4 linked regions of the Arabidopsis thaliana genome follow. The protein of the gene in region 1 interacts with the protein of each later gene in a pairwise test. Each region holds a gene or a part of one and is shown in the gene's direction. Other genes may lie near its edges. The genes, in order: AT2G40260, TCP17, HAT3 and TGA9.

Region 1 (4,405 bases):
CCGTGATTGATATTAATACTTAGCATTTGGTATCTGTTGGGTCGTATAATTGATCATGGGTTGTCTGAGCATGGAAGTAGGATTATAGGGTAGATATGAAGAACGTCATTCTAACGTAAATTATTATTGCTACACTTTTAAAACCAAAATATACGACAGCTTTAATTCTTCCTACCAATTAATAACGACGACGAAAATATACGATTACGGCTGGACATTGGGCTTCCAAAAACGATTTTGAAAAAAAAAAAAAAAACAGAAAGAAATGTCATATACCTAATTTATTTGACCGATGACTTTCACATTATCTGGTCACCATTCACAAAATTTGACACAGTACTTGCATGTCGCTTACAAGAAAAATTAGCCTGCTGATGTTAGAGGAATACAGATAGATACAATTCTGCCTTGACCCTCTCCTGGAGGCGCAAAGTTCATGACAATAAGTAAATCATATATTATACATTTTAATTTTCTCCTTTCTAAGTTCTTAAAAAAGTATGACATCCCCTACTTTGCCTACTTCCTTAATTTCACAAAAATAAAAGTATGACATACTTAATTAGAACATATCTTTTGTTTAGTATTTTACTAGTAATTTTAATAGTACGTACGCTATATAGAACGAACTAATCACCCCTGAACTGAATTCCAAACTAAATCAATTGGTTGCATGTGTGTACGTACAGAAACTCATATAATTCTCAAGTTCAATTCTGTGATAATCATGTGACTTATTAGCTTCAGTTGTTATATTCTGTATCCTAATTTATTTATTTATTTTTTAACATTTATTTGGGTTATATATAGAAAAAGAGATGTACTATTTGCATGTATATAGAGAGAGGCGCATGTGTAGATAATTATAGATAATATGAAATCGTAAGAGTAGTGGAGATGGAGACAAACCCGTGATTGTCGTTGGTGACAGAAACAAGTAGTAATATTTTCTTCTCGTGTCTTTCAGTGAAGACAGCCCAGCCAAGCACCTTTTAACTTCTGTCTGATTCCTCTCTCTATGCTCTTTCTCTGTCTATCTATCTAATTATGCTTTTGGGTTTCTTCTTTTTCTGGTTTCACAGCTTTGGCTTTGAAGTCACGAGCCCATCCCCCTAACCATCCCCTTTTATGCTTTGCTTTTCTAGTCAATTTAATTCATGAGTTGTAACGATGGAAGAAGTTTCATTTATCTAATTAATGTGTATGCCTCATTAATGTTGCCTTCTTCCTATATTGCTAAAAGCTAGTTCGAATGAAACAAAAACACGTACCAAATCCAATGAAAAACATAGATCTTCAGTTGGTTTTGAAAGAAAGAACAAAAAAAATTGTTAATGTACATGTCATATTGAACCCTGATTTATGTCATAAAATTGGTATACGTACGGGTTGATATCATGAAAACGTTTGATCTTTTACCATGAAAATGATCATTATTTAGATAAATTCAATCTACTCCTTGGAATTTCTTTTCACTCCCTATCACAACGAGATTCAAAGATTAATTGTACTAATTGACTTAATAGTTATTAACTCATTTTAAAATACATCTTATGACTGAAGTTACTAATGTTTAATGAAATTAAAAGTACCATTTTTGTCATGAGGTGTAATTCTAGATCTATCTTTCCCTAAGATGTATATAACTGTAGAAAAAACCATTGGTGTAATAAAAAGCTATATATTAAATAGAATTTAGAATATCCGTTGCCATCATATACATATTTCAACATATATGTTGAGTTGGAGAGAGAGGGGGAGAAAAAGGAATGATGGATACAAGCATCCAAAAAGTCATACACATAGACCATCAAAAGTCTTCACCTTAAATTCCTAACACATATGTATGAGTGTGTGATCTTTGTTTGATCTTTGTCCAGAGAACTCCAAGATAGACCAAAAAGGTTCAACCTCAAAACAAACAACACAAAAACAGCCAAATAGCTAGAGACCAAGATGAGATCAAGCAGCCAAAATTCTGAAAACTCCAAGACTTGTCTATCTAACAACATCAAAGCAACCACCAAGAATGAAGAAGATAAAGATGAAGAGGATGATGAAGAAGGCGAAGAGGATGAAGAAGAGAGATCTGGAGATCAGAGCCCATCTAGCAATAGCTATGAGGAAGAGAGTGGGAGTCACCACCATGATCAGAACAAGAAGAATGGAGGATCCGTGAGGCCGTACAACCGCTCAAAGACTCCGAGGCTGCGATGGACGCCGGAGCTCCATATTTGCTTTCTTCAAGCTGTGGAGAGATTGGGTGGCCCAGATAGTTGAGTTTCAATTATATATATGAATCAATATCAAGATCATTGCATATGTGAAGATCTCTAAATTTCTAGGGTTTTCTTGTTGATATTTATTTGGGGTCTCTTTCAATGATTTTGTTGAAACAGGAGCAACACCGAAGCTTGTTCTCCAATTGATGAACGTCAAGGGGCTAAGTATTGCCCATGTTAAGAGTCATCTTCAGGTTTTGCAAATATCCACATACACATAGAGTATATATCTATATACATCATTGAGATCTTCATCTGAAATCATACTTCATTTTTTTTTCTTCTTAGATGTACAGAAGCAAGAAGACCGATGAGCCTAATGAAGGTAGTTTACTTAGCTTTCTTCTACCTTCTGATTTAAGTTAGGGCTTCTATAAATCTTATAATTGAATTCGACGAGAAATTGACTAATTCTTGTCTCTCGTGTTTTATCTTTTCTTATAACTACAGGAGATCAAGGATTTTCGTTTGAACACGGAGCTGGTTACACTTACAACCTTAGCCAACTTCCAATGCTACAAAGTTTTGATCAAAGGCCTTCTTCTAGTTTAGGGTATTTACAAACTCTTCAGCTAGCTATCTTTAAACTATAAGTTAAAATTACGTGTGTGTAACTTGGAATGTATTCAATAGATATGGTGGTGGTTCGTGGACTGACCACAGACGACAGATCTACCGTAGCCCTTGGAGAGGATTAACGACACGAGAAAATACAAGAACAAGACAAACAATGTTTAGCTCACAGCCTGGTGAGAGATATCACGGAGTTAGCAATAGTATTCTTAACGATAAGAACAAAACTATTTCATTTCGAATCAATTCTCATGAAGGGGTTCATGATAACAATGGAGTAGCTGGAGCTGTTCCAAGAATTCATAGAAGTTTTCTTGAAGGTATGAAAACGTTTAACAAATCATGGGGACAGAGCCTCTCTTCCAATCTTAAGTCCTCCACCGCAACAATACCACAAGATCATATTGCTACAACGCTAAATTCTTATCAATGGGAGAATGCTGGAGTGGCAGAAGGATCAGAGAATGTTTTGAAGAGGAAGAGGTTATTATTTTCTGATGACTGCAATAAGTCAGACCAAGATTTGGATCTAAGCTTGTCCCTTAAGGTACCTCGGACACACGACAATCTTGGAGAATGCTTGTTAGAAGATGAAGTAAAAGAACATGATGATCATCAAGATATCAAGAGTTTGTCTCTTTCGTTATCATCTTCAGGTTCATCAAAACTCGACCGAACCATTAGGAAAGAAGATCAAACTGATCACAAAAAGAGAAAGATTTCGGTCTTGGCAAGTCCCCTTGATCTCACTCTGTGAATATGTATAACAACTTATATACGTATATTCTAAGTGAGATCTTGTGGTACTTGTTGATGGAAGACGGTTCTGTATTGTTGTTTATCATTCGTTGCATACTTGTGACAAGACCCATAATTAAGGAAATAATAGAGACATTTTTTAATGTTTTTTATTAAAAAAAAATTCACATAATTTTGTCGAGATCGTTAAATGCATATTTTAAAATATATATGATTTGTGATCGAGTTGGGAGCAGAAATTTGTTTTCTTCTAAATAGTATAGTAACCAAGAAATACATTAGTGAGAGTCTATATATATGGTTTTGAGAGTTACAAGACATTGCACGTTGTCTATAAGCTTGTCTAGACGTTGCAATGTATATGTAGTTTACTCTCACATAACAAGTATCCTAAGCAATATTTTTGTTTTAACATGGAGATATTGTCTGAAAATTTATACGTTAACGTCAAATCAGTGAATACAAGAAAAGAAGATGAAGACTTCCGAGTCATAGCTTTCTGAGCTATAGCATTATTATTTTTATAAAGACGAGTTTTTGCCTTCTTCAAAATCGTTTTATAAATTATTCTATGTTTTAGATTTGTAGTTGAAATTATATGAAAGGTCCGTTAATTTAAAAATCAGGTCTGCTGAATGTTTTGTTTGTATTAAAAAAACAAAAAAAAAAAAACAAATCGGTTCTGATAACCAACCAAAGTTTATTTTAATTTAGTTGCGAGGTTAATTAAGAAAAAAAGAAGACACTTTCTTTAAGAGAAAATTGGAGAGAACGACAAGAAGACAGATGTA
Region 2 (3,875 bases), on another chromosome or scaffold:
ATTTGGGTCCAAAATGTGTCTGTGTGTAAGTGACATGCATACGTCATCATATGCACGTATTCCAACTTTTGGTCTAAACTGGGACACATGAGCGTTTCAATTGCACTCTGTGTTACCGTTTTGCACTCATTGTGGTTACCGTTTTGCACTCATTGTGGTTACAGCTAGGTTGTGTGACCAAACTTAATAAGATTCTCTAGCGATCAGAGAATATGGTCCGGTTTGCAGTGGTAAAAGATAAGCAGGGTTTACTTGAAATTGATTGTGGTTTTAGGACAAATCAGTTTGAAATCATTCGTTTGAGCTTCTAACCGCTTATTTCAAGTCCAAGTATCCAATTCAATATTGGTAACCGAATTAAAGGTTCGTTTTTAACCGCCATCACTAGTATGTGATCTACCGCTAGTATGTAATGTATTTGACCTCTATGAAATTGGAATCGTTCATACTTAACAAATTTCTAGGAAAAAAGGTTAAAACTATTTTCTTGTATATGCTTCAATCGTCTTGAAGATTACATAATCCAACGCACTAAAGGCTAATAAATTTTTGAAACTGAAGTCCAATCATCGTTATCTACTTCAGCCGACCTTAGGTCCCAACTAGAGAAACTTCTCAATCTCTGATTCTCTGATACACATACGCAGAGGTCTACTTATACACATTGTATACAAGCAGCTAATAATTAGTCATAAATTGTGAAACGTTTAAAAGAAAAGTAAAACAGTTTATTATAAGATATATAGTGAAATTTGGCAGTATGGCAAGAATTCACTCATTGATATAAAACCCCAATGTCATTGTTATTGAATTACAAGAATTCTTATGAAATTTAATAATTATATTTTTGTTATATGAAATTCTGTTATTGTGATATCCTGACAGTGTATATAAATAATGCTTAAAAGAATGAACTAGATATCTCACTGCCATGCAAATTATATAGTGGTCCACCATGAATCTGTATATAAGCATATTACATATCTAAGATGCTTTATTTTAACAAAAAAAAACATGTACTCTTTAATTTGGTCCATCCTCCATCTAAGACCAACCATTTTAGCTGTCAATCTATTTGCCTACTATAATATGTACAGTATTATGGAGCTCAATTGGGATCATCTCACGAAGAAAATCGAAAGGAAACCCCTAATTTTTAAAAGTTTTGGGTCTTAACATTTACTGATGCACATCACATACTATATATAATGGAATTTGCCCTATACCAAATGTAATGTATAAGTTGGTTCTCAGTAATTTTGAACTATTGTTTCGAATGATATATAGCAAAAGATCCATATGTAGTGTGTAATGAAAATGTAATTTTCTTACATTAGTATTTTCTATTGAATGGAGTCAAAGATATCGTTAAGAATGATCGTATGCATCATCAAGATTCAGGACTAGACATTCTAAAGAATGATCTCTAAGTAAGTAGATACATGTGTACACATTTTGATTATGTATATGTGTATCAGTGTATGTATATGTTTTTATTTATTATCTACTATTAGTATGGGTGATTAATGAAAATCATAGCATCTTTCTTTCCGTCAGAAAACATGTGGATAAGAGTGTCTATAGTCTACACACTACACAAATTGCTCTTTATACCTAACTAAAACCCTAGGGATTGGAGCGTATATATATATAGATATCATTTCTTGCTCAGCCTCAACCATATGTTATATTATACACTTTTAGTTTTAGATAACGAGAGAGAATAAATTATAACTGTTCATCATCTCGGTTCTTATCATTTTCCTCAACCTACGTGACAAAGAACTCACTCGATCTGTCTAAACCCAACGACTTCGTCAAGCTTACCAGTTTTTCTGTGTAAGATTAATCATCTTTTTTTCTTGCAGTAATATAATTTGAAACCTTTGTTTTCCTCTTTGGATCCTCAGATCTTCCTATTGATTCAATTGTAATCTATTTCGATTTGAGAATCACTTTCCTTTGATCTTTTTTAAGTATATATACACAAAATATCTAGTAAATTAAATTAATATGCAGTTCGAGTAATATACGTTTTCTTGATCTTAATAGGTTTTTGTTATTTACTCTATTGAAGTTGCTTTCATCTAATTAAAGTGATCACGCTTCCCAAAAATCCACAAACATTCCGAATTTGAACACTTTGTGATGACAATATTGATTTTGTTCATCTGTTTTTTGTTTTTTAGATCGACAGAGGACATGGGAATAAAAAAAGAAGATCAGAAAAGTTCCTTGTCCTTGTTGACGCAACGATGGAATAATCCGAGGATCGTGCGAGTCTCCCGAGCATTTGGAGGCAAAGATAGACACAGCAAAGTGTGCACAGTTCGTGGTCTCCGAGACAGGAGGATAAGGTTGTCGGTGATGACAGCGATCCAAGTCTACGACCTTCAAGAACGATTAGGGCTGAGTCAGCCTAGCAAAGTCATTGATTGGCTCTTAGAAGTTGCCAAAAACGACGTCGATTTGCTTCCTCCTTTGCAATTCCCACCTGGTTTTCACCAACTTAACCCTAATCTCACCGGCCTTGGAGAATCTTTTCCCGGGGTCTTCGATCTTGGAAGAACACAGAGAGAAGCTTTGGATCTTGAGAAAAGGAAATGGGTTAATCTTGATCATGTGTTTGATCACATCGATCATCACAACCATTTCTCGAATTCAATCCAGAGCAACAAGCTTTATTTCCCTACAATTACTTCGTCTAGCAGCTCTTATCACTACAACCTTGGACATCTCCAACAGTCACTACTAGACCAATCTGGTAACGTCACTGTCGCATTTTCTAATAACTATAATAATAATAATCTCAATCCTCCGGCGGCGGAAACTATGAGTTCTCTATTCCCAACAAGGTACCCTTCGTTTCTCGGTGGTGGTCAACTTCAACTCTTTAGTAGCACAAGCTCACAACCAGACCATATCGAGTAGTTCCAGCTGCAGATTATTTTTAGACGATCTTTAACAAGTTGAAGAATTCAAGTCATGTGACATGTAAGGCATTTACTATATGTACATAGAGAGAGGGAGATTTATATGGTTTAATGGTTATTGTTGGATTGATTAATCGTCACATGCGTGTATTTATAGTAGACAGTCTTATTAAAGATTATATAATAGACGCCAAATCTGATGCGAGCAAAGGTACATATTCATAATTCATGTTGTGATTGAGTTGGTAGAATATCTAATTCATTGTACCGCTACAATCAATATAAATAATATCTCTCATACAAACTTTTCACATTTGTATGTAAAGTTTGTAGTGCCTAAATATGCTATAACACAGGCCTCATTGCACGCCAAACCCTAGCTTGTACTCATATGTCCACAACCACATGCATGTGTAGTATACAAGGAACACAACACATATGATATCATCTACAAATAGAAATAAACACACTCATACACACAATGACACAAATATACGTTGTATGTATATATTTTGGGCTTAACATGTAAACTAATCGAACCGAATATTTATTTTCTTACATTTCCGAAACCAAATATGCCGCAAAAGCATTATTGAACCTATTGGAAGGATTTACGACAACTAAAACGTTTTATCCTGAATATTCATATATAGGTATATGATTTGTTGTAGCAGCTTTCCGGTAATTGGATTAATGTAAAGTGAGTAGAATCATATACTCCAACCAACAACTAGCTATATAGAGATAGATTTAGGTGATGAGTATTGCCTTATTGGGATTGGCGAATGAGAGAAGGAAAATGAGAAGAAGATGAGGCAGTTAAGACAGCAACTGAATCTGCAGTCAAGTCAAGCACTGATCCCTATATATCTTCTTTTAATTATTCTTCTTTTTTTCTTTTCTCTTTTGTCGATCCTCTTTTCACTTTCTATTAATTCTCTT
Region 3 (4,488 bases), on another chromosome or scaffold:
GTCTCTCGTATAACAAAGAGGTAAAACAAATAAACTTTGGCTATGTTTTTTTTTTTTTTGCGTTGAATAAGTGTGTTAATAATAAAAGGAAAACTTGATCAAATATATTTTGTCTTTCTATTTTCACAAATGCTTTTTTTTTTGGTGTTTTCTAAAAATCTAAGTAACAGTGTTATTAATGGAGAAAATAAATGAGAAGAAGGGTTATGTTTAGATTGTTTCCTGTGTAAATGTAAAATCAAACATATAAATTAAACACGAGCAGGAAATTAAATAAATAGAGCTGACCTGTCTTGTCTGTGTAACTGCTGAAAGTTTTGAAGAGACTGAAGGCAGAAGTAATGATGGCAATATCAATAACATATATGGAGTCATCATTAATTAAATAGTAATTTAATTACTCTCTTATTAGTCATAAAAATCAGCCAACACCACTTGTCGTGCGTTTTTATTTATGTTTGACTGACAGATGAAATTAATGAGAAAGTTAATTATCTTTTGGTATCACATTGGGAAAAAGGAACAATAAATGAAGGAGGGAGGCATGGAATGGGAATGCATGTTGGATTCGCAGACAACTCAAAATCCATGCAGTGTTTAGGGCTTTTAGGTTCTCTGTAACCTATCTATACGACACCGTATCTCTGCCCCCTCCTGATTCCATACCCATTTTGAGCCCACCGCCTTATTCTCCCCCCACCTCACACTCGCCCATTCGCGCGTATCTATTCTTTCACGCTTACCTATTATTCCAACATCCTCATAATCACATTTTAACAATAACCCATTGAAGAATAATAATTCATTTCATTCTTTAAGAAAGTTTGGTTTGTAACTAGGTTATATAATTTTACCCAATAAAGGTTATAGAATGGTTTAAAACTACTAAGAAAAACATAATTTAGCTGATCTTTTCTCAAAAAAAAAAAAATAGTTGTCATAATCGAATGCCAATGATGAAACATATTCACCATAAAGCTAACTTAAAGAACCTTTTCTAACCAACAAGTTAACAAGTGATGGTGAATTTGGAGAGTGGGTGAGATTTGTTTTAAGGATATAATTCCATGTTAAAATGGGAAGTACAATTATATGGTTTGATATACAGTACTACAAATTATGCTTTAAGAGTACTAATATTAAAGCGAAGCTGCATTATTTTTGAGATACGTAGGACCCCAATGGTCAGAGGGAGAAGTAAAGTTATGATGATAACAATAAGGCATGATATGATGATGATGTTCATAATGATACTGATGATGATGATGATTTATTAATTATTATGATATGATATCATTATTTGATCACCCTCACGAGCGCGTGGATTTTACCGTCTGGTCGCTGCTTTTTTAATCCTCTCAATCAGTCAACGGTCAACGAGCGAGAAAGCCGCTTTCGTAATGAAAGCCACATTACAAAAAGCCAATTATGCTTGTTTGTGTGTTTTTGAAAAAGAGCTTCTTTTACATTTTCTTTACTTTGAAACTCGGGTACACAAAATCTCTACTCAATTATATTGTCAACTACTAATCTTTAGTATCTTTTAAAGTAGAAACTCAGCTTTTATCTATATTTAGTAAAACCTCACATGAATGGATTTGGGTGAATGAGTTTATCATATGTATAAGAATCTAATATAATATTTGAAAAACGCTCATAGGTTATTTTGTAATTAAGAATAGTGACAACTTACAATATACCAAACGGAAAATGATAGAGAAAGAACAAGAGACTTGGACTTTTTTTTTTCTTATAATAAATCAATTAACCATGGTTGAAAAGGGATGTGAGGTGAAAGTAATAACTCCTGGTTTTAATTTTAACCATGGTTAAGTTAAAATAAAGAGAGAAGGAAGCAGGTTTTTATGCAGTATATATCATCATTGAGGTAACAGAGGTCTCTCTGACACAAGTCATCATTGAAACCCTAAGCCTCCCCACAACCCCATATCTCTTTGTCTGAAAAAACTCTTTTGCATATATAAATAAATATAAGCCATATCTTTTGAAACTGTACTGCTGCACAAGTGTAGAGGCAGTGGCACAACATCTTTAAGAAAGAGAGAGAGAAAGAGTCATTTATTCATTTCCTCGCTTAAAAATCTTGAGCACCCAGACAGAATTCTTCTTTCTTCTTTCTGGGGTTGAGAAAAATGAGTGAAAGAGATGATGGATTGGGGCTAAGTTTGAGCTTGAGTTTAGGTTTTAATCAAAAGGACCCGTCTTCGAGGTTAAATCCAATGCCTCTGGCTTCTTATGCATCTTCATCACACATGCAGCATATGCAGCAGAGCAATTATAACCATCCTCAAAAGATTCAGAACACTTGGATTAACATGTTTCAGTCATCAGGTATTTACCTCCTTTTACTAATCCAGATTCATGTCTAAGATTATAGGTTTCTTTGTTTTAGATCCGATCTTTTTATTACACTTTATCCTATAATAGATAAAATTTTCTTGATATGTTTGTGATTTTTAATCATTTGGCGTGATTAACGTAACGTGCAGAGAGAAACTCGGACATGAGATCGTTTCTCCGGGGAATAGACGTGAACAGAGCTCCATCGACGGTGGTGGTTGACGTGGAGGATGAAGGCGCCGGAGTTTCGTCTCCGAACAGCACCGTCTCAAGCGTGATGAGCGGGAAGAAGAGCGAGCGAGAGCTAATGGCTGCGGCAGGTGCAGTTGGAGGAGGTAGAGTAGAAGATAATGAGATTGAGAGAGCTTCTTGCTCGCTCGGCGGTGGTAGCGACGATGAAGACGGTAGCGGGAACGGAGATGACAGTTCGAGGAAGAAACTCCGATTGTCTAAAGAACAAGCTTTGGTTCTTGAAGAAACTTTTAAAGAACATAGTACACTCAATCCGGTCAGTGGCATTTCCGTAGTTTTCTTCAATAGGTTGACTTTTTATATGTTTTTCATTGACTTTTTTTGTTGTTGTTGGATGCAGAAGCAAAAGATGGCTTTGGCTAAGCAATTGAATCTGAGGACGAGACAAGTTGAAGTGTGGTTCCAAAACCGAAGGGCAAGGTAGAAATTTTTATTCTATTTTAAGGGGTTACTTTCGTAAATTTTATATAGTCCAACAAATAAAACATTAGTAGTTATTGCTATGATGGTGATATGTGTAATGGTCCATTTTATGACCCATAAGATTATCCTAAAGGATTTTAATGGGTCTCTCATGTCTTAAATTAGGAGGTTTGGTTTAAGCTATTCAGTTTTCCCGGTTTAAGAATTAAAACCGCCAATGTTGTTTTTGAGTCAAATTTTGGTTAAAGTGTTTTCAGTTTTCCGGTTCAAGAACAATAACCGCCAGTTTCGAATACAAGAAACAAATGTACTTCGGGTTTTCTCTTTCCCGGATAGTTAAACCGGATATCGGATTTTAATGTTTTGGACTGTTTGTGTGTGTGTTTATAGGACGAAGCTGAAGCAAACGGAAGTAGACTGTGAATATCTTAAGAGATGTTGCGAGAATCTAACGGATGAGAATCGGAGATTGCAAAAGGAAGTGAGTGAGCTTAGGGCTTTAAAGCTTTCTCCACACTTATACATGCACATGAAACCTCCCACTACTCTCACAATGTGTCCTTCTTGCGAGCGAGTCGCTGTTACGTCATCTTCGTCATCGGTGGCTCCTCCTGTGATGAATTCATCGTCTCCGATGGGTCCGATGAGTCCGTGGGCTGCCATGCCTCTACGGCAACGACCTGCTGCTGGTTCTCATTAGAGTTTAATTAGTCTAAAGATAATAGGTTTGGTGATTTGTTTTTATTATATTGTTGAACGGACTTGGAAGTTCTTTTCAAGAGTTGGTCCCATGCTCTTCTTTCCTTTGTTTTATTCAGTTTCTATTTATAGCTGAATTCTGGATAATGGAAAATCTACTAATATTATTGTCCAATTATTAGTTTGGGGAAAGATAAGAGGTTCTATCATTCTTTATTGTTATATATTTTGATTACATCATATCTGTTTTTCACCAAATCCAGAGTTCTATTTTAAGGCCATCGAATCATAATAACGAATGGTGCATAAACTAATTTTCAAGAGCGTCATTTATTAAAGTTGTAATTGTTTAATTGGGGTTTTCTTTCTTTTGCTTGGAACTTAAGAAAGGGATTTGTAAAGATGATTATTAATTACAGTAGAAGATTAGTTAGAAGTATAAAGTAAAAAGAAGCAATGAAAGGTGTTATGATTGATGGAGCAAGCGTGTGTTGTTTGCATATGTAATAAGTAAATGTTAGCCAATACGAATATCGAGACATGTACGTGACATAACATAGCATTTGGTATGTATATGGAGATATTTGGGTCCACATAGACGAAGTCAGACCATTAGAATCTCTTGCAGAACACTGAAGATACGATATTTTTTTCTTCCCTTATGTCAAAAGATCTCAACCGACAGAGAAAGAGAAAATGAGAGGTACGACCAAGATATCTCTCGGTGTTTCAATTTTTGGCAGAGGCAAAAAT
Region 4 (7,988 bases), on another chromosome or scaffold:
GAAGCAAACCAAATAAGGATGTGGCCCATTTTTACATCATATGACTGTTACCGAATCAGAAAGTCAATGACAATAATGGAAAATATGCAAATTTGACAATTTTCACCCAAGATAATGGTTGTTGAAGAAAATTACACAGGATGAAACATTTAGGCCACGAAGTTTTGAATATTAGGGTTTTGGGCCTCTCGGCTTGTTGGACTTTTTAGATCATGCTAGACCAAAACCGACTACACTATTTTGAGTAAGTAATTCAAAAATCCCAATTCGTTAGAAAACGAGCTTGAGTAGTTGTCCCAAAGTGATTGATCATTGATGTCTACATAATAATATGCATCCTCCATATAAGATTATGGCCGGTATTGGGCTGAGATGGTAATCTAAACATTATTTTGATGCCTTGATGGACAAATTAATATTGAGATTCTATAAAAGCTTAACCGTGAGTTATATACTTCTACCGAACCCAAAAAAAGCATCTAAAGAGCCGTGAAAAATAAATTCTCAATTCGGAGGGGGTCATTATGACACAAACTAAAGGAATAAAGCCATGACAAATGTGGATTTGCAAGAGAGCTGCATTGACTAAAACAGCTATACGAATCAAAGGAGGCATATAACAATTTCTAATAAAGGAAAGGAATCTGAAATGTGGCATTAGGATTTAGGTGATGACAGGGAGTGGATGTTGACCGATCAACAAAATTATAGGATAATACCAAACTAATCAATTTAAATAACACTCGATTGAGATGTTTACAATAATTATTGATAATTTTAATGCTATTTTCTATATTTATTTACGATTAATGCAAGAAGGCCGTTTAATTTTATCTTATTGGTCTACATAATTGTCATTATTCTAAGGCTTTTTTGGTTGAACTGGTAGAGGCAAAATAGTTAATTATTCAATACTTAAGTATGTTAGGTTAACCGACTAGAGAAAGTTGCTCTAGTTCTATTATATCCAAATTTGAAACTTAAAGCCTAAAAGCTGTTAATTTTTGAGAAGAAGAAAAAACTTTCAGAAACTGTTTCACATATTATCACTCTCGGCTTTCAAAAGGTTATAGACTGAAGATGAAACTAAAAAAAAATCTGTAATTATGTATAGTGTGTTACATATAAGTAGACGTATTATATTCATACTATTCTTATCCCTCTCTCTGTCTCAAAGGTCATTTAACAAAAAGAGTTGTAGTTTAGAAATAGAAACTCACTCGATTCTGCTATTTTAATATACATACACAAATCAACAAACATTCCTTATCCCACATTAATGCATTGTCTTTGATTATGAATTTATGATTATGTGTATTAACATTATTTCATCACTATCTCTAGTACTATTCCAATAACAAACTCATTAGATCATCCAAATAATATATATAATTTAGCTTAAACTATAGCTGGGGAGTTGTATTCGATCATTTAGTTATAGTATATATTTGTTTACTAGACTAAAGATATATATATCATTTTTTTTTTGGCAAAAATATAAAGTATATGCTGTATATATCATGCCCATTCAAAGATTCTTGATATAATTCTAGAATTTTCCTGTTAGTTTTCTTTTGGTTTTAGATTAACACACAGACTACTTAGAAAAAATAACTTCATGCATGATCCATGCTGCTAAGATGATAGAGTGAAACCCAATTCTTTTATGCAAATTTCACCACTTTACTTTCACATATACAGATACGTATTTTGATATAGGCATGTACGTGAATACGATGAATAATACTACAGAAAAGATGATAGATTATTGAAAAAATGTGTACGTGAATAAGCCCAAAAAGAGATTTGATGAAAAAGAGCCAATAAGCACAAACAGGCGGTTACAAAGAGAGAGAGAGAGATTGTGGAGTAGGAGTCAGTGATTCTAGTGGGTTCCTCCTCTTTTTCTGCTCTCTTTCTTCTATTTTTATTTTATGGACTAAATTACAAACTCTCATTTAATTTTCTTCTCGCTCAATTTTTTTCTACCTAGAGAAGTCGATAGTTTTCTTAATAATCTACCTCCATTTTCTTGTGATCGGTCCAATTAATCTTATATCCAATCATCTTATTTATCTTCTACATATTGGATAAGGCTCTTTTATTCTTTACCAAAGATAAAGCTCCATTCTTTTTCTTAACAAGGATAAAGCTCTTTTAATTAAGCACTCTTAGACTTTTGATTTTCTGTTTAACTTCTACATTTCAGGTTTGTGTATGAATAGAGATCGTCCACTCCATCTGATCAATTGCCAAGTACTAGCTTCACCCTTGACAGCTATAAAGTTAGTCAACTAAATTTTCAATTTTCTGTACAACTTTTTTGAACCCAATATTATTATTTGGAAAACAAAAAAAAATGCAACACATAAATATAGCCTGGAGACAAAGTCTAGGAAGGACAAGATCTTCGTCTGATTTACCATGAAAAATTATCAATATTTCTTTATTGTTTTCTTCAATAAAATTTTGAAATTTAGCAAGTGGAATTTGTGTTTACTATGGAAATAGATAGAGAAAGGTGGTGAAAAGGAGAGAGTGATGATGAATCACAAAGGTTTCTTCACATACAAGTATAGAGAGAATAGTAATAAAGAGAGAAAGAGTAATGATACTATACATTAGTCAATTACTAATACTTTATTATCATTTCTCTATCCAACTACAAATATATACACGCCCACATAATTTTGTATATGTATCTCGGAAAGAGAAAAGATTGGACCCTCTTTTGTTTTTCTGTTCAGCCATAAAAAAGCCTTTGACGAGAAAGCTTCCATTCTACTTTCTCTCTCTCCTCTTTGTTCTCAAACACCAAAAGCAAAACATCACAAAAGGTAAACACATAGATATCTTACTTTCATGTTCATATCATCAACTAGCTTTTTCTTTTCAAATTCCAATCATTTGATCAACTAATCAAGAATTAATTATAAGACTTTGCAATCTCTCTCCCTCTCCCTCTCCCTAGCTAGTTCTCTCTTGTGTTTCTTAACTCGAGCTTCTCTCAATAGTGATTATCATCTTTTTCATCATTTCAAGATTTAATGTGTTTTGCAGAAAAGAGACTAATCAAGAAGAGATATCATCAATTGAAGCTGTTTTCTTGAGTAGAGATGGCGAACCATAGAATGAGCGAAGCTACAAACCATAACCACAATCATCATCTTCCTTATTCACTTATTCATGGTCTCAACAACAATCATCCATCTTCTGGTTTCATGTAATTAACAAATCTTCCTTCGTCTTTTCTTCTTTACATATACATAAAGCTCAACTTTATTCATATTACATATCTTAATATTGAGCTCTAATTGAATTTTATATGGGTTTTCTTTGTTTATTCTCAATTTGTCATTTTCTTAGTAGTATTATGATATGTTATACGGTTTCATTTATGAGATATGAAATGGTCAACGGAAATCTATAGGTAAAACAGAAACTAAAAAATGTGTTATGGATCATCCGAAATAGGTTTTATATGTGCTTTAGCTTTTGTGTAAACTTTCATTATATGCGACCGTCTTTATTAATCTTCTAACTCAAAATGCGACCCTCTAATCAAGTATTTATATTTTAATTTAATTGTTGTTCCTTTTGGTCTCCAATTTTTCTTGGTTTCTGATTGTATAGTTGTAGTAACACATGATGAATATTCTCTTTGTACTAATTAAACAATACTATTAATAAATGAAACAGTAACCAAGATGGATCGTCCAGTTTCGATTTTGGAGAGCTAGAAGAAGCAATTGTTCTGCAAGGTGTCAAGTATAGGAACGAGGAAGCCAAGCCACGTAAGCCCCCCTCTCTCTCTCAAATCTTCATGACGTGAGCTTTCCTTAACAAACTCCAATAAAGTTTTTAAAATTCTGAGCAAAAAACTGAAACTGGAAAAAACAAAATAAAAAGCTGAGAGTAGTCTGAACAAGTCTTTAGATAGGTTTAGGTGATGATACGGAGGCAAAAGAGAGCCTTGGATGGCGTGACTTGTTTTTCTATTTCTCTTCTCTTTATTTAGAAAATAAGAAAAGAAGAAAATATCTTTTACCAACTCCCTAACTTCCTCTATATCAAAATATTCATAATTATACTATTAGTAAAATGTGTCATGTTATATATAGATTCCACGTGATAAATGATGTAGTTAGTTCTAAGTAGAATATATTGTAGTACTACTTAAATTACATCAAAAACACATATACATGCATGCACACATTTAATAAGTAGCTAGCATACTACATGATTACATATGAACATTACATATCTGATAAATGTAATGATGGGTAAAATTGCAGCTTTATTAGGAGGAGGAGGAGGAGCTACGACTCTGGAGATGTTCCCTTCGTGGCCAATCAGAACTCACCAAACTCTTCCTACTGTACCCTTTCTTCTTCTTTGACCCTTTCCTCTTGTTTTTTTCTCCTTTTTCGGCATTCCTATTTAAACTTAAAACTTATATTTTCATTTTACCCTCACTTTTATATACATGTTTCAGCTTTCTTGTTCCTCTTACTATCTCTTATTTTTGCTTCTTTCAACTCAAAAGCTGATAGCGATTTTAGAGTAGTTAATTACTCCATTCCTTTCTCTTGACTTTATTTTATATTACATAAACTTATAGTACCCCGTTTGTCAAATTATATACGCTAAGGTCAATTCCTCCTTAGTTACATTGATTATCCCTTTTCTGACTTTTTATTAATTATCTTATACGTTAATGATGATGAGTATGATTATGTTGAATATGTATTGCAGGAGAGTTCCAAGTCAGGAGGAGAGAGCAGCGATTCAGGATCGGCTAATTTCTCCGGCAAAGCTGAAAGTCAACAACCGGAGTCTCCTATGAGTAGCAAACATCATCTCATGCTTCAACCTCATCATAATAACATGGCAAACTCAAGTTCAACATCTGGACTTCCTTCCACTTCTCGAACTTTAGCTCCTCCTAAACCTTCGGAAGATAAGGTACTCATCATCATCATCATCATCATCATCATCATCATCACTTTTTAAAATTTAATTTTAGAAAGAGATATATGCATGGTACGTACTTGGAGTCATCATGAAACATGCATGCTTAATTTGGTGCATGTACATGGTATGTATATCATTAGCCTATCTCTCTCTCTCCTTGTCATTTGATAGATATGCATGCACATGCTTTTTCATATATGTCTATGTCCTAACAAATCTTTCCAATAAAACAAAAACATACACAGATCCCAAAAAGGAAACGGATCAGAGAAAATTCAGAATTTTGACCTCTCGAATCGTTGATAAAATAATGAAAACAGACAAATTTAAAATACAAATTATTAAATGAAATCCCCAAAAAGCGGAATAAAGCAGAAGAATCTTCCTAGGTGTTATTATTGTTTTTATAATTTACTTTTTACTACATGATTACATATCCTCATTTCTATGTTTACTTTAACAACACATATATTCCCTAAATGAGTTCATATTGCTTAGATTTAATATTACATTAAAAAAAAGTATTTAATAATGCTGTTTTTTTAATTGTGTGTAAATGGTATTTAAATATTTATCACATGAGTCGACTTCACTCACACAATTTAATTTATGTTTACTTTCTTTCCACTGAATGAATTTCTATTTTCATCTCTGTTCTCTGACATTGCAGAGGAAGGCTACAACTTCAGGCAAACAGCTTGATGCTAAGGTACTTTAACTTTCATCATCATCATTTCCTATACATTTTATTTGACTCCCCCGAGGAGACATATCCATTCCTATATATGTACTTACTTTTTAGTAACCTTTTTTACCTGAATTAATTCGTTAACTTCTTGTTTAAATGTTCTTAAATCTGGATTATGCAGACGTTGAGACGTTTGGCCCAAAATAGAGAAGCTGCTCGCAAAAGCCGTCTTAGGAAAAAGGTATGACCATATAATTGCCTGACTTTTCACCTCAAATTATTATCATTTGTTTTTGTTTTTTTGACCTATTTATATATTCTTTGCTACTTTTTCCAAATGATAATTTGTTGCATAGAATTACAATAATGCTATTGCTACTAGTAAAACATACGCAGTGGTGTCTTTTATTCTTCTTGGAAACCGCTGTTACATGAGCATTTATTTCTTTATCTACCATTTACCAGTCTTCTATAATTCATTTATGAACGTATAAGTTCCGCATTTCTTGTTATTCTATATGTAATGATACTAGTATGAAAATAACAAATGCATATACATATGGTTTGAGCAGGCGTATGTGCAACAGCTAGAATCAAGTAGGATAAAGCTTTCCCAATTGGAGCAAGAACTTCAGCGAGCTCGTTCTCAGGTTGAAATTGAATCATTTATATTCCTATAATCCTATATATTCTGCTAAATCTTTTTTTAAATTTGTCAAAACCTGTCATTTGCTAAGTTTCTCAATTGTTCATTGGTTATTAATAATGTCTGTTTGTTGAAATTAATATATTGTTTATGTCGATGGTAGGGGCTGTTCATGGGTGGTTGTGGACCACCAGGACCTAACATCACTTCCGGTACTTGAAACCTAAAACACCAATTGCAATGTATTATTGTATTAAAATAAGTACAATAATGGTTAAACTATTATTAACAAAATGTTGAAAATCGAATGTACGTAGGAGCTGCAATATTTGACATGGAATATGGGAGATGGCTAGAGGATGATAACCGGCATATGTCGGAGATTCGAACCGGTCTTCAGGCTCATTTATCTGACAATGATTTAAGGTTGATCGTTGACGGTTACATTGCTCATTTTGATGAGATATTCCGATTAAAAGCCGTGGCAGCGAAAGCCGATGTTTTTCACCTCATCATTGGGACATGGATGTCCCCAGCCGAACGTTGTTTTATTTGGATGGCTGGTTTCCGTCCATCCGACCTAATCAAGGTTCGACTTGTTCTTCCTTACTTTACCCCATGATTACAAACGTAAGTTTTAGGTTTTGCGTTTGAAAAACAAAATGATATTCACGTTAGTAAATTACATCAACAAATCTGAAACATTGCTGCAAAATGTAAACAGAAATGAGTATTCTTCGGTTTAATTATTTGCGTGTGATAAAAAAGTTGTGGAATCATGATTAACTAAAGAAAGGGATGTGATCTTAGATATTGGTGTCGCAAATGGATCTATTGACGGAGCAACAACTGATGGGAATATATAGCCTACAACACTCGTCGCAACAAGCAGAGGAGGCTCTCTCGCAAGGCCTCGAACAACTTCAGCAATCTCTCATCGATACTCTCGCCGCATCTCCAGTCATTGACGGAATGCAACAAATGGCTGTCGCTCTCGGAAAGATCTCTAATCTCGAAGGCTTTATCCGCCAGGTTCCATTTTCTCACCTATCTTTTTTTTTTTTTTACTTCATTTGCTCGAACAATAATTACAAACGAATGCAAACGAGAGAAAAAAACACCGTGTGAAATATACACAAAATTTGACCTACTATATAACTGTAGATAGTTTTTGACTAAACAAAATTTGCAACGTATTTTGGTTTATAGTTAGAGAGGAATTCGAATATATTTTTTAGAAATATATTGGGTAAATTTTAACGTTTTATATATATACTAGATGTACAAATGTTTAAAAATGCGGAAATACGTGCATATATTTTGCGTACATATATGAACAAACGTATGTGCTGGCTAAATTATCTAATTGAAAAAAAAACAAATAATCCAGAAACAGACAATACGTGAAAGCAACATTTGATGTTCTATAATAATTATATGTTGTTTTGGTCTTTGATTTAATTATTCCAAGAGCCAAATTTCTTTCACCAACTTGTTTTTACCTTTTATATATAATATAGCTGAAAAAAAGACAAAGAGAATATGTTAAAAGTATTCTCCATCTCTTTCAATGTTTTGTTTTGAACTCAACAAAAATATTTTAAAAAAATTTCTTGTTTTCAAACATTATGATCAAATTGATTGTTATTGATATGTATTGACTTTTGTAATACCCATTAG

The links.
Region 2: the proteins of AT2G40260 (region 1) and TCP17 interact in a two-hybrid assay, tested with the Arabidopsis thaliana proteins (one large-scale study listed by BioGRID).
Region 3: the proteins of AT2G40260 (region 1) and HAT3 interact in a two-hybrid assay, tested with the Arabidopsis thaliana proteins (one large-scale study listed by BioGRID).
Region 4: the proteins of AT2G40260 (region 1) and TGA9 interact in a two-hybrid assay, tested with the Arabidopsis thaliana proteins (one large-scale study listed by BioGRID).

The regions. Positions count from the first base shown.
Region 1 is NC_003071.7:16,816,025-16,820,429, reverse strand, and holds AT2G40260 (Homeodomain-like superfamily protein), read left to right. Parts: upstream 1-1,699; 5' UTR 1,700-1,956; coding exon 1,957-2,275; exon of another isoform or gene 2,276-2,399; coding exon 2,400-2,476; intron 2,477-2,570; coding exon 2,571-2,607; intron 2,608-2,732; coding exon 2,733-2,835; intron 2,836-2,915; coding exon 2,916-3,612; 3' UTR 3,613-3,900; downstream 3,901-4,405.
Region 2 is NC_003076.8:2,582,683-2,586,557, forward strand, and holds TCP17 (TCP domain protein 17), read left to right. Parts: upstream 1-1,675; 5' UTR 1,676-1,839; intron 1,840-2,189; 5' UTR 2,190-2,202; coding exon 2,203-2,931; 3' UTR 2,932-3,353; downstream 3,354-3,875. UniProt on the Arabidopsis thaliana protein: Plays a pivotal role in the control of morphogenesis of shoot organs by negatively regulating the expression of boundary-specific genes such as CUC genes, probably through the induction of miRNA (e.g. miR164). Participates in ovule development.
Region 3 is NC_003074.8:22,320,036-22,324,523, reverse strand, and holds HAT3 (homeobox-leucine zipper protein 3), read left to right. Parts: upstream 1-1,862; 5' UTR 1,863-2,153; coding exon 2,154-2,352; intron 2,353-2,510; coding exon 2,511-2,869; intron 2,870-2,953; coding exon 2,954-3,033; intron 3,034-3,426; coding exon 3,427-3,736; 3' UTR 3,737-3,944; downstream 3,945-4,488. UniProt on the Arabidopsis thaliana protein: Probable transcription factor.
Region 4 is NC_003070.9:2,622,580-2,630,567, reverse strand, and holds the start of TGA9 (bZIP transcription factor family protein), read left to right. Parts: upstream 1-1,973; 5' UTR 1,974-2,285; intron 2,286-2,639; exon of another isoform or gene 2,640-2,747; 5' UTR 2,748-2,837; intron 2,838-2,846; exon of another isoform or gene 2,847-3,060; 5' UTR 3,061-3,116; coding exon 3,117-3,223; intron 3,224-3,699; coding exon 3,700-3,794; intron 3,795-4,295; coding exon 4,296-4,378; exon of another isoform or gene 4,379-4,755; coding exon 4,756-4,965; intron 4,966-5,644; coding exon 5,645-5,683; intron 5,684-5,843; coding exon 5,844-5,903; intron 5,904-6,234; coding exon 6,235-6,312; intron 6,313-6,471; coding exon 6,472-6,520; intron 6,521-6,625; coding exon 6,626-6,897; intron 6,898-7,118; coding exon 7,119-7,340; intron 7,341-7,988. UniProt on the Arabidopsis thaliana protein: Together with TGA10, basic leucine-zipper transcription factor required for anther development, probably via the activation of SPL expression in anthers and via the regulation of genes with functions in early and middle tapetal development.